Linked DNA regions of Macaca mulatta. The protein of the gene in region 2 interacts with the protein of the main gene of each other region in a biochemical or structural test. Links are inferred from orthologs where the notes say so. Each region holds a gene or a part of one and is shown on either strand. Other genes may lie near its edges. The genes, in order: H2AX, RNF168 and H2AZ1.

The links.
Region 1: of the proteins of RNF168 (region 2) and H2AX, one has a biochemical effect on the other in vitro, tested with the Homo sapiens proteins (2 studies listed by BioGRID). The link is inferred for Macaca mulatta from reciprocal best matches to the Homo sapiens genes RNF168 and H2AX.
Region 3: of the proteins of RNF168 (region 2) and H2AZ1, one has a biochemical effect on the other in vitro, tested with the Homo sapiens proteins (3 studies listed by BioGRID, with this or other methods). The link is inferred for Macaca mulatta from reciprocal best matches to the Homo sapiens genes RNF168 and H2AZ1.

What each region holds. Positions count from the first base shown.
Region 1 is NC_133419.1:119,778,571-119,781,884, reverse strand, and holds H2AX (histone H2A.x), read left to right. Parts: upstream 1-1,094; 5' UTR 1,095-1,169; coding exon 1,170-1,601; 3' UTR 1,602-2,684; downstream 2,685-3,314. Other genes in the region: HMBS (porphobilinogen deaminase), read right to left, coding at 3,283-3,314. UniProt on the Homo sapiens protein: Variant histone H2A which replaces conventional H2A in a subset of nucleosomes. Nucleosomes wrap and compact DNA into chromatin, limiting DNA accessibility to the cellular machineries which require DNA as a template.
Region 2 is NC_133407.1:2,047,908-2,051,618, reverse strand, and holds the start of RNF168 (E3 ubiquitin-protein ligase RNF168), read left to right. Parts: upstream 1-893; 5' UTR 894-1,520; coding exon 1,521-1,821; intron 1,822-3,711. UniProt on the Homo sapiens protein: E3 ubiquitin-protein ligase required for accumulation of repair proteins to sites of DNA damage. Acts with UBE2N/UBC13 to amplify the RNF8-dependent histone ubiquitination.
Region 3 is NC_133410.1:109,266,872-109,270,462, reverse strand, and holds H2AZ1 (H2A histone family, member Z), read left to right. Parts: upstream 1-824; 5' UTR 825-880; coding exon 881-883; intron 884-1,313; coding exon 1,314-1,391; intron 1,392-1,669; coding exon 1,670-1,783; intron 1,784-2,116; coding exon 2,117-2,246; intron 2,247-2,526; coding exon 2,527-2,588; 3' UTR 2,589-2,965; downstream 2,966-3,591. UniProt on the Homo sapiens protein: Variant histone H2A which replaces conventional H2A in a subset of nucleosomes. Nucleosomes wrap and compact DNA into chromatin, limiting DNA accessibility to the cellular machineries which require DNA as a template.

The DNA.
Region 1 (3,314 bases), on a different chromosome or scaffold from region 2:
AAGAAGTAAGCAGGGGGCCACATGCTCTCAATGGAGACAATAAAGTGTTGTCTATTTCTTATTGTTCCTGTAGGTATATTTCCTATATGGGCATTTTTGGGTGGATTGGGAGGGTAGGTGGGGGTACTTCCTCCAACAGGATGCCTATCTCTCTGCCCCACCAGACCCCGTCTAACAAGAAGTGAACAGAACTGAGACCAAACAGAACATATTGAATAAACATTTAAATCCTGATACTTCAGGTGGCATGGAGGGCCACAAAATTGAAGTTATCCTGTTTCCTGGCATGGGGTCAAACTTTCAAAGACACCAGGTACAGTGGCTCATGCCTGTAATCCCAGCACTTTAGGAGGCCGAGGCAGGAGGATTGCCTGAGCTCAGGAATTCAAGACAGCCTGGGCAACAAAACGAGACTCCGTCTCTACAAAAATAAATAATTAGCCCACTGTAGTGGAGCATTTGTAGTACCATCTACTCGGGAGGTTAAGCAGGAAGGATCCCTTGAGCCCAGGAGTCCGAGGCTTGCAGTGAGCTGAGATCACACCACTGCACTCCAGCCTGGGTGACAGCAAGCAAGACCTGGTCTATTAAAAACAAGAAAGAAAAGAAAGAAAGAAAAAGAAAACTTTAAGGGGTCTAATTTCTTCCCTTTTCCATTCTCCCTTTGTCAGGTAGGAGAAGGGAGTGTGGAGTGACCGGACCTGGAAAGGGTAGCTATAGTATTGACCCCTTTCCTTTAAACATCCTACGCCAGCACAGATTTCCCAGACGCTCTCTAGGTGGCCTCAGACTCCACCCCTTTTGTCTTCCGGTTCTGCCTTCCGACTGTAGTGTTTAAATCTCGCGCGCTTTACAAGGATTGGCTACATAAGCGGGTGTTTGGCCGTCTGCGTGCTACCCCGCCTCCTCGCCTTTTCTCCCCGGGCAAAAGGTTTTCAAATTCGACCAATCAGCGCGCGCTCCCTCAGCCGAGGCGCGACACCCAAGGGTTAACCGCAACCAACCGGAGGCGGGTATTGGAGAAAAGAGCCAATCAGGAGGGCGCAGAGGTGTGTCCTGGGGGCTTATAAAGGCGGCCTCACGGCGCGCGCGCGACAGCAGTTACACTGCGGCGGGCTTCTGTTGGGGTGTCTCTGAACCGTTGTACTTCACCGGTCTACCTCGCTAGCATGTCGGGCCGCGGCAAGACTGGCGGCAAGGCCCGCGCCAAGGCCAAGTCGCGCTCGTCGCGCGCCGGCCTCCAGTTCCCAGTGGGCCGTGTACACCGGCTGCTGCGGAAGGGCCACTACGCCGAGCGCGTTGGCGCCGGCGCGCCCGTGTACCTGGCGGCAGTGCTGGAGTACCTCACCGCTGAGATCCTGGAGCTGGCGGGCAATGCGGCCCGCGACAACAAGAAGACGCGAATCATCCCCCGCCACCTGCAGCTGGCCATCCGCAACGACGAGGAGCTCAACAAGCTGCTGGGCGGCGTGACGATCGCCCAGGGAGGCGTCCTGCCCAACATCCAGGCCGTGCTGTTGCCCAAGAAGACCAGCGCCACCGTGGGGCCGAAGGCGCCCTCGGGCGGCAAGAAGGCCACCCAGGCCTCCCAGGAGTACTAAGAGGGCCCGCGCCGCGGCCGGCCGCCAGGCCTCCCCATGCCACCACAAAGGCCCTTTTAAGGGCCACCACCGCCCTCATGGAAAGAGCTGAGCCACTTCAGACTGCGGGGCAAGCGGGCCGCGGCTCCCGGCTCCTTTCCCCTCCCATCGCCCGCCTTTGCCGCCCGGCCTCGAGTCCCCGCCCGCCCCCCTCCTGGCCTGCACCGCCTGCCGCGTCGGCCTCGGGCCCTGCCCCATCCGCCGGCCGCCCTCCGGTAGGGCTCGGGCCCTCTGGACGCGGCTTGGGCACTCTTCGGGGACCACCGTGGCGCGGAGGACCCGAGCCTGCCGGGGGGAGGCCGGCGGCGCCGCACCTGCTCGCCTCGGCGCTCGTGACTCAGCCAGCTGCCCCATCCTGAGTCGCTGAGGGGCTGCGGGGAGGCCGCAGCACCTTCTGGAAGACTTGGCCTTCCGCTCTGACGCAGGGCCGAGGTGGGCAGTCCAGGCCGAGAGGCCGGCGGCCCTGAAGGTGAGTGAGGCCCTCGGCAGCTGCAGCCAGGGTGTCCGGCACTCCCCCGGCGTGGTGCTTAGCCCAGGACTTTCAGACGTGGCCGCTGGCCTGGAGGCTTTGGTGGGAGAGACACGATCGCTGGTTTCGGTCTGGCGCCCCCTCTGCGGCCGGGACCCAGGCCTTTCACATCAGATCTCCCTCCATCTTCATTCATAGGTCTGCGCTGGGGCCGGGACGAAGCACTTGGTAACAGGCACATCTTCCTCCCGAGTGACTGCCTCCTACGAGGACATTTAGGGGAGGGCAGAGGCCTGCAGTTTGGCTTCACGGCTGGCTATGTGGACAGCAAGAGTCGTTTTCGCGGAAGCCGACTGGCAGCCAAGCCTGTCGGGCCTCCCCATTTCCCTTCCAGCAAACTCAACTCGGCAATCCAAGCACCTAGATACCAGCACAAGTCGGTTAATCCCTGTCTGGACTGAGCCTCCGTTGGCTTCCGAACTGGAATTTTGCAGCTAACCCTTCCAAGACTAGAACCTTAGGCATTGGGGAGTTTTAGATGAACTAATTTTATTAAAGGATTGTTTTTCTAAAAATGGAGCATTTGTTTTCATTTTGCAAGAGAGTTGTAGGATTAGTGACTTTCTATACTTTCCTGATAGTGGGGGTGGGAGGGGCATGCAATATAAATAGGCTCTACTGTTAACCGAAGAAGGAGCAAACCATAGGAATTTAAGATTATGGCTCTGTTTCTTGGTGTTCCTGCGAGACAATTTATTCTGTGTGAAATGAAAACTATTGAGGCAGAAGCAGAAAGGATGTACCAGGAGAACTTTGGGCAAAAGTCCCAGCCTCCGAGGTAAGGATGAAAGGGCTTTGTGTTTGTTCATATCTTCCCGCCAACCCCCCCCCACACACACACACAAAAACACCTTCAGAGCTGGTTTATTAGTAGAGTTGGTTACATTCAAAGGCTGTGGCTTGGACTTCTCTAAAGAGATGAAGCCCCCACATACTGAGGAGGCAAGGCAGTCATCAAGGCCCCAAACTGAGGCAAATCCCCGGAAGGCTTGAACCCTGCAGTTCAGTCTTCTGAGGTAATCACTCCCCAGACAGCAGTGAGAATGGGGCACTGAGGGCCGGGATGTAGGCACTGGACAGCAGCAACCGAGGCATCTGTGCCCCACAGACCAGTTAATGGGCATCGTTAAGCTGCCGTGCAACAT
Region 2 (3,711 bases):
TGACCCACCTCGCCCAGCCTTTTTTTTTTAAGCCAGAGTCTCGCTGTCTCCCAGGCTGGAGTGTAGTGGCGCGATCTCGGCTCACTGCAAGCTCCGCCTCCCGGGTTCCCGCCATTCTCCTGCCTCCGCCTCCCAAGTAGCTGGGACTACAGGCGCCCGCCACCTCGCCCGGCTATTTTATTTTGTGTGTGTGTGTGTGTGTGTGTGTATATATATATATTTTTTTTTTTTTAAAGTAGAGACGGTGTTTCACCGTGTTAGCCAGGATGGTCTCGATCTCCTGGCCTTGTGATCCGCCTGCCTCGGCCTCCCAAAGTGCTGGGATTACAGGCGTGACCCACCGCGCCCAGCCTTTTTTTTTTTTTTTTTTTTAAAGCCAGAGTCTCGCTGTCGCCCAGGCTGGAGTGCAGCGGCGCGATCTCGGCTCAGTGCAACCTCCGCCTCCTGGGTCTAAGCGATTCTTCTGCCTCAGCCTCCCAGGTAACCTGGACTACAGGCGCGCACCACCAGGCCCGGCTGATTTTGTATTTTTAGTAGAGACGGGATTTGGCCATGTTGGCCAGGCTGGTCTCAAACTCCCGACCTCAGGTGATCCGCCCGCCTCGGCCTCCCAAAGTGCTGGGATTACAGGCGTGAGCCACCGCGCCCGGCCGTGTTTGGCTGTTGAATTTGTTTTGCAGTTTCCCTTTTTCTACCCAGAAACCAAGAAACCCGGGGTGTCTGAGGCCTGGCAGAAATCTCCGGGGAAAGTCAGGCTCCACCCAGGCTGCACCAGCAGGAGCGGCGACGCCTGGGCTGGGCCTCTCCGGCTGGGAGGGCGGGCGGGGCGCAGACGCCGGAAGTCCCGCCCCGGGAGCGTCCGACCTTGGGCGGGTTTCTGGGTGGGAAGCGCGGTTTTGGCGGGCGGTTGTGACGTTGCTGGCGCTTGCCCGGTGGCTGCTGCGCCGCCGCAACGAATAGGGCTTCTGGCTGCGCAAGAGGGACCCGGGCGCGGAGCTCTGGGAAACTGCGCCGGGCGCCGGGAAGCTGAACCCGGGAGTCGCGCGTCGCCCCCGCAGCAGCGCCAAAGCGGAAGTTCTGCAGCAGCCGGAGCTCGGGATTCCTCCCGGAGCCGCGTCCCGGGGCCGGGCTGCCCCGAGCTGAGCGGAGCATCCTCTCCGGATGAGGGGAGGAGGGGACTTGGCGCGCTCCCCTCGCTGCACCGGGAGCCGCAGCCGCAGTGTTCACGCCGCGGAGCAGCCCGGCTCCTCCGACGAAAGCCTGCAGTCGTTTGCTTGCCGGACGTTTGCCTTGAAAATGGACAAAGACGCCGCCCTCCGGGGCGTTCCTGTTTGCCTGACCCTGAGAGCGCCTTTTTGCTTCGAGACGGGTTGGATGCCCCTGTTCTCCGAGTTCTGATACGCTTCTGGGCACAATATTGAAACACAAAACTGTGCTTTTGCCTTCTCTGTGGTTGGCCGAAAATAGGATTGTTTTTCGCGCAGGTGTCGTCGTTTAGTCGACTTTATTAACGTGTTAAAATGGCTCTACCCAAAGGCGCCGTCCCCTCGCGGTCCGAGTGCCAGTGCGGGATCTGCATGGACATCCTCGTGGAGCCCGTGACCCTGCCGTGCAGCCACACGCTGTGCAGACCGTGCTTCCAGGCGACCGTGGAGAAGGCGAGTCTGTGCTGCCCCTTCTGTCGCCGCCGCGTGTCTTCGTGGACTCGGTACCACACCCGAAGGAATTCTCTCGTCAACCTGGACCTGTGGAAGGTCATTCAGAAACACTATCCCCGGGAGTGCAAGCTCAGAGCGTCGGGGCAGGAGTCCGAGGAAGTGGGTGAGTAAACCCCGGCCTGATTATTGGCCGAAAGCCGCAAATCTTTGAAAAGGTGAATCATCGCTTCTCCATTTAAAAAGTACAAACAAACCAAAAAGCCCCACTGATGTTTGTCTAAATAGTTCTCAGAGGTTTGGGGGTTTATGGGTCCCCAAATGTCGATGGATTGTAAAGTCAAGGACAAGATTTTGTCCCTTGTCACGATGCCCGCGCTGTGTTCGATGGGTGTTTGTTTTAAAAATTAAAGAATTGCCCGTCTAGAGCCTTCTTTTTTTTTTTTTTTTTTTTTTTTTTGAGACAGGGTCTCGCTCTCGCCCAGGCTGCAGGGCAGTGGCGCGATCTCGGCTCACTGCAGCCTCCGCCTCCCGGGTTCAAGCGACTCTCCTGCCCCAGCCTGCCGAGTAGCTGGGACTACAGGCGCGCACCATCGCACCCGGAATTTTTGTATTTTCGCAGAGACGGGTTTTCATCATGTTGGTCAGGCTGGTCTCGAACTCCTGACCTCCGGTGATCCGCCCGCCTCAGCCTCCCAAAGCGCTGGGATTACAGGAGTGAGCCACCGCGCCCGGCCTCTGATTTACTTATGTGTACATCTCCATTCACGTAATTCTTTATTCTCCTAGTCATGCAACGAGCCGATCGTGACCAGCCTGGCCAACACGGAGAAACCCCGTCTCTACTAAAAATACAAAAACTAGCCGGGCGAGGTGACGGCGCCTGTAGTCCCAGCTACTCGGGAGGCTGAGGCAGGAGAATGGCGTGAACCCGGGAGACGGAGCTTGCAGTGAGCCGAGATTGCGCCACTGCACTCCAGCCTGGGCGACAGAGCGAGACTCCGTCTCCAAAAACAAAAATCATGCAACAAGTCTAAAATCGCTTTTTTATCACTAACCCCTACACCCGGTGGACTCAGGAGCCCCAGACTGAACCCTTGACTCTTTCCTCCGCTAGTGTGAGCAATAAGCCGTGCAGTGGTTCCTGTCTGTGCGCTCTCGTCTACGGGTCTTTTTTTTTTTTTTTAATTTTTTTTGGTCACAGTTATATGTGTACCTGCCTTTTAAACGTTTATGTATTTTATTGTGGTAAAAAACCAAAATGCCATTTTAACCATTTTTAAACAATAGTTTAAGAAAAACAGCTTTATTGAAATACTCACATACCGAACAGTTCACCTACTAAACGTGTGCAGTTTGGCCGGGTGCAGTGGCTCACAGCTGTAATCCTAGCGCTTTGGGAGGCGGAGGTGGGAGGATCGCTTGAACCGAGGAGTTGAGACCAGTCTGGGTAACATAAATTCAATAAAATTTTTAAAAGTGCAATTTAATGGTTTTTTATATATTGCATTATTAATTTTTAAAATACTGTCCAAAATATATATAACAAACTGACATTTTAACCATTTTTAAGTACAATTCAATAGAATTAATTACATTCACAATGTAATCATCACCACTGTTTCCAAAACTTTTTCATCACCCCAGATAAACTCTAATCGTGAAGCACTGACCACCCATTTCACCTTTCCCCCTAGCCCCTGGCACCTATTCCACTTTCTGTCTCTATGAATCTGGCAATTCTAGGTATTTCATATAAGAGTCTTATACAATATAGGATCTTGTGTGTCTAGCTTATTTCTCTTAGCGTGTTTCCATGGATCAGTACTTCATTTTTCGGGCTGAATAATAATTTGTTTTATGGATATACTTGTTACATTTTGTTTATCCATTGGATGGACGTTGGTTTTTTTCACCTTTTCGTTATTTGAATACTGGCAATACGGACATCTGTGTACAAATATTTGTTTGAATACCTGTTTTCAGTTCTTTTGTCTACATATCTAAGAGCGGAATTGCTGGATGCTATGGTAATTCCATGTTTAGCTTTTTGAGG
Region 3 (3,591 bases), on a different chromosome or scaffold from region 2:
GACTTGGCTTCACCGTTTGCTGTTACAGAACTATTCCGTGGGGGATTTCATAAGTAGTGAGGGAGAGGTGGAAGACCCGGCTGAAAATAAAGTGGGAGCAACCCGTCCTGATCTGTTGTTGGTGACTGGGGATTCGCCTAGAGGGAAGAAACACGGAATCTCTACTAAGGCTGAGGAAGGCGTCAGGGCAAACCTCAGCCTCCCCTCACTGGACGCGTTCGCGCCACCTGTCAGACTGGAAGAGCCGCCAGGGATTGAGAGGGTCGGGAGAGGGTGCCCGGGGCCCCGGAAGGCGGCTGCAGGTCGCAGGTCTCCGCCCGAGAGGCGCTGGGGGTGGGGTTGGGAGCGGTGGGGGCTGCGTGCTAGATACGGACGAGACTTCACGTGGTCTCCAAAGCCCTGCTAGGGGACCCGGGGCGCTACCGCGCGCCCCTCCCCTGAGGTCTCAGCTCCTCCTCCCCGGCACGTGACCGCAGCTGGCTGGTAACTGCGCTCCCGCAGAGTAGCTTGCTCTGTTTCTTCCCTCCCGCCGCGGTGCCCTTCTTCTCCCCCGTTCCCATCCCTCCGCCCTCCCCCGCTTCGCTCCTCACGTCCCAATCGCGGCTTGAGCTTAGAAGCGCCCGCCCCTCCACCCTTTTCTTTGCTTGCTCATTGGCTGAAGTCTCAAGGACGCGTCCCGAGGGCGGGTGGCAGCCATTGGTGGGATGAGCAATCCGAGTTCCCGGATGAGGGAACATTCTGCAGTATAAAGGGAGCAGGGAAGGCGGGAGACAGCGCAGTTTGAATCGCGGTGCGACGAAGGAGTAGGTGGTGGGATCTCACCGTGGGTCCGATTAGCCTTTTCTCTGCCTTGCTTGCTTGAGCTTCAGCAGAATTCGAAATGGTAAACTTCGCAGAGACGCTCGATGACTTCGCGGGTTTTTGCCGGCGGGAGAAAAACCCGTTACACGGGGGATGGGGGTGAAGTGGCGACGGTTGGGAACGCGCGGAGACAGGATTAAGAAGAGCGGGGGGAGGTGTTTTGTCGGCTGCTAGCGGAGCAGCCTCGGATCTCGCGGCGGGCGGCGACGGTTGGGTGGCGCGCGCAGCGCCGCTGGGGGCCGGCGGGCGGGCGGAGGCGCGCGGCCGCGGCGAGCGCGCGGCGGGGGGCGGACGGGCGGGGTCGCCCCTGCGGCGCGCCGCGGGCCAGAGACCCCGGCGGGGTGCGGGGACGCGCTCGCGGCGGGACGCGCCGCGGTGGGGGATGGGCGCGCCGCCTTGGTAATTCTATATTCTCCGTTCCTCCTCCGCTCGCGGGCGTGTGCGCGCCGCAGGCTGGCGGTAAGGCTGGAAAGGACTCCGGAAAGGCCAAGACAAAGGCGGTTTCCCGCTCGCAGAGAGCCGGCTTGCAGGTCAGTAGTTGTTCGTGCGGTCTGGGAGTCGTGATGTTTTTCTTTGCATCTCCTTTTTTGTTATTCACCGCTCTCCATGGGCGTTTCGTCTATGCGTGGGTGATGCGGTGTCGCGACTTGGGCTGCCCATACGATAAATATGGGGGGGAGGAATCACGTGTTTCGATGTCGGGACGCGTTGCTGCGCCCGTGCCACTTGCTTTGGCGCGCATATAATTTCCCCATCTCTAGTTCTCCTATTTTTGTGCATTTATGTTTGTGTATGCTTAAAATTTAAGTTCCCAGTGGGCCGTATTCATCGACACCTGAAATCTAGGACGACCAGTCATGGACGTGTGGGCGCGACTGCCGCTGTGTACAGCGCAGCCATCCTGGAGTACCTCACCGCAGAGGTAAATGGGTGAACGCCTATAATCCGGAGAAGGTTTGGGGGGCGGGGAGACGGCAAGAGGGAAGGAGGAAAGTGATGCAAGAAAACTCACAGGCCCTGAACGCGGCGAGAGGCCTAAGAGAACGCTAGAGGGAGCTGCTGTTCAACAAGGATCCTACTGAGCTTGAGTTCTCTGCTCTTGGAATTAAAATTGCGTGCCCCCTGTATATCTTGCCAGTCAGATAGTGGGGAACGACTCCAGTTGGTAGATAAGCGTTTGTGAGGGTTTTATTCTGTTCTCTGAATCTTGGCCAAAGGAAAGTTGGAAGGGAACTGATTAGATTCTGCCTTCTAGGTACTTGAACTGGCAGGAAATGCATCAAAAGACTTAAAGGTAAAGCGTATTACCCCTCGTCACTTGCAACTTGCTATTCGTGGAGATGAAGAATTGGATTCGCTCATCAAGGCTACAATTGCTGGTGGTGGTATGTTAACTTCTAAAATTTTTAAAAATTTCTTCAGAGGAAGGAATTCTTTGCTGCTTTAATTTCATTAGTTTTTCTAGAAGAGAAAATTTAAGTATATTTTCATTGATGCAAGTATGGTTTTATCATGAAATTTGATTCATATGTATAACTGAATTTTTACTTCATACTTGAGCTGCACGTTTTTAAAGATACTTGAACAGTATACTTTTTTTGGTTTCAAATACTGTGATTTTAAAAAAAAAATCTTAAGTAGAATTAATTCCTGTCACTCTCCTAGGTGTCATTCCACACATCCACAAATCTCTGATTGGGAAGAAAGGACAACAGAAGACTGTCTAAAGGATGCCTGGATTCCTTGTTATCTCAGGACTCTAAATACTCTAACAGCTGTCCAGTGTTGGTGATTCCAGTGGACTGTATCTCTGTGAAAAACACAATTTTGCCTTTTTGTAATTCTATTTGAGCAAGTTGGAAGTTTAATTAGCTTTCCAACCAACCAAATTTCTGCATTCGAGTCTTAACCATATTTAAGTGTTACTGTGGCTTCAAAGAAGCTATTGATTCTGAAGTAGTGGGTTTTGATTGAGTTGACTGTTTTTAAAAAACTGTTTGGATTTTAATTGTGATGCAGAAGTTATAGTAACAAACATTTGGTTTTGTACAGACATTATTTCCACTCTGGTGGATAAGCTCAATAAAGGTCATATCCCAAACTAGTTGTGTATTAAATTGGCTTGATTGTAATATGAATTTGTTTTGAATATCTAGCAGCAATAACTAAGCACATTTCTTTGTGACTGACCTGTCAAATCTAGATCAACAAAGTGAGATAGACCAAGTATATATTTTTAATGTTATATAATAAGCTACTAAAGTTTTAATTTAAAAAGTTGTCAGGAGCTGGAGTGGGAGCATTTCAGTTTGTGCATTGACTTTGCTTGCTGTGTGACAGCACTGCACTAGTATGCTGTTAGTGTGGTGGACTTGGGGAGGGAGAGAATAGGTAGGAATGTCCTGTATATCCACATAATGAACTCCGAATTTAAACTCTGAAGCTAATAGTGCTACGTGCTAGGCCCTGCTTTGAAGTCTGAAATTGAAATTGTTAAGTGCTCAGTAACATCATTGGGGATATACTATCTCCATTTTATTGAAGAGAAGCAGGCTTTCTTATTTGAAAGTACCGAGTTCTGGTGGTAGTTGGAATTAACAGCTTGGCTCACAGCATTTTGTAAAAATCGTTACCTTGTTGGGTTGAGCAGATCGTTTCCACAGTTTGTCATGTTTTTTAAAAAAATTAAAACTGCACATAACATTCACCCCCACCCTCACCGTGAAGACT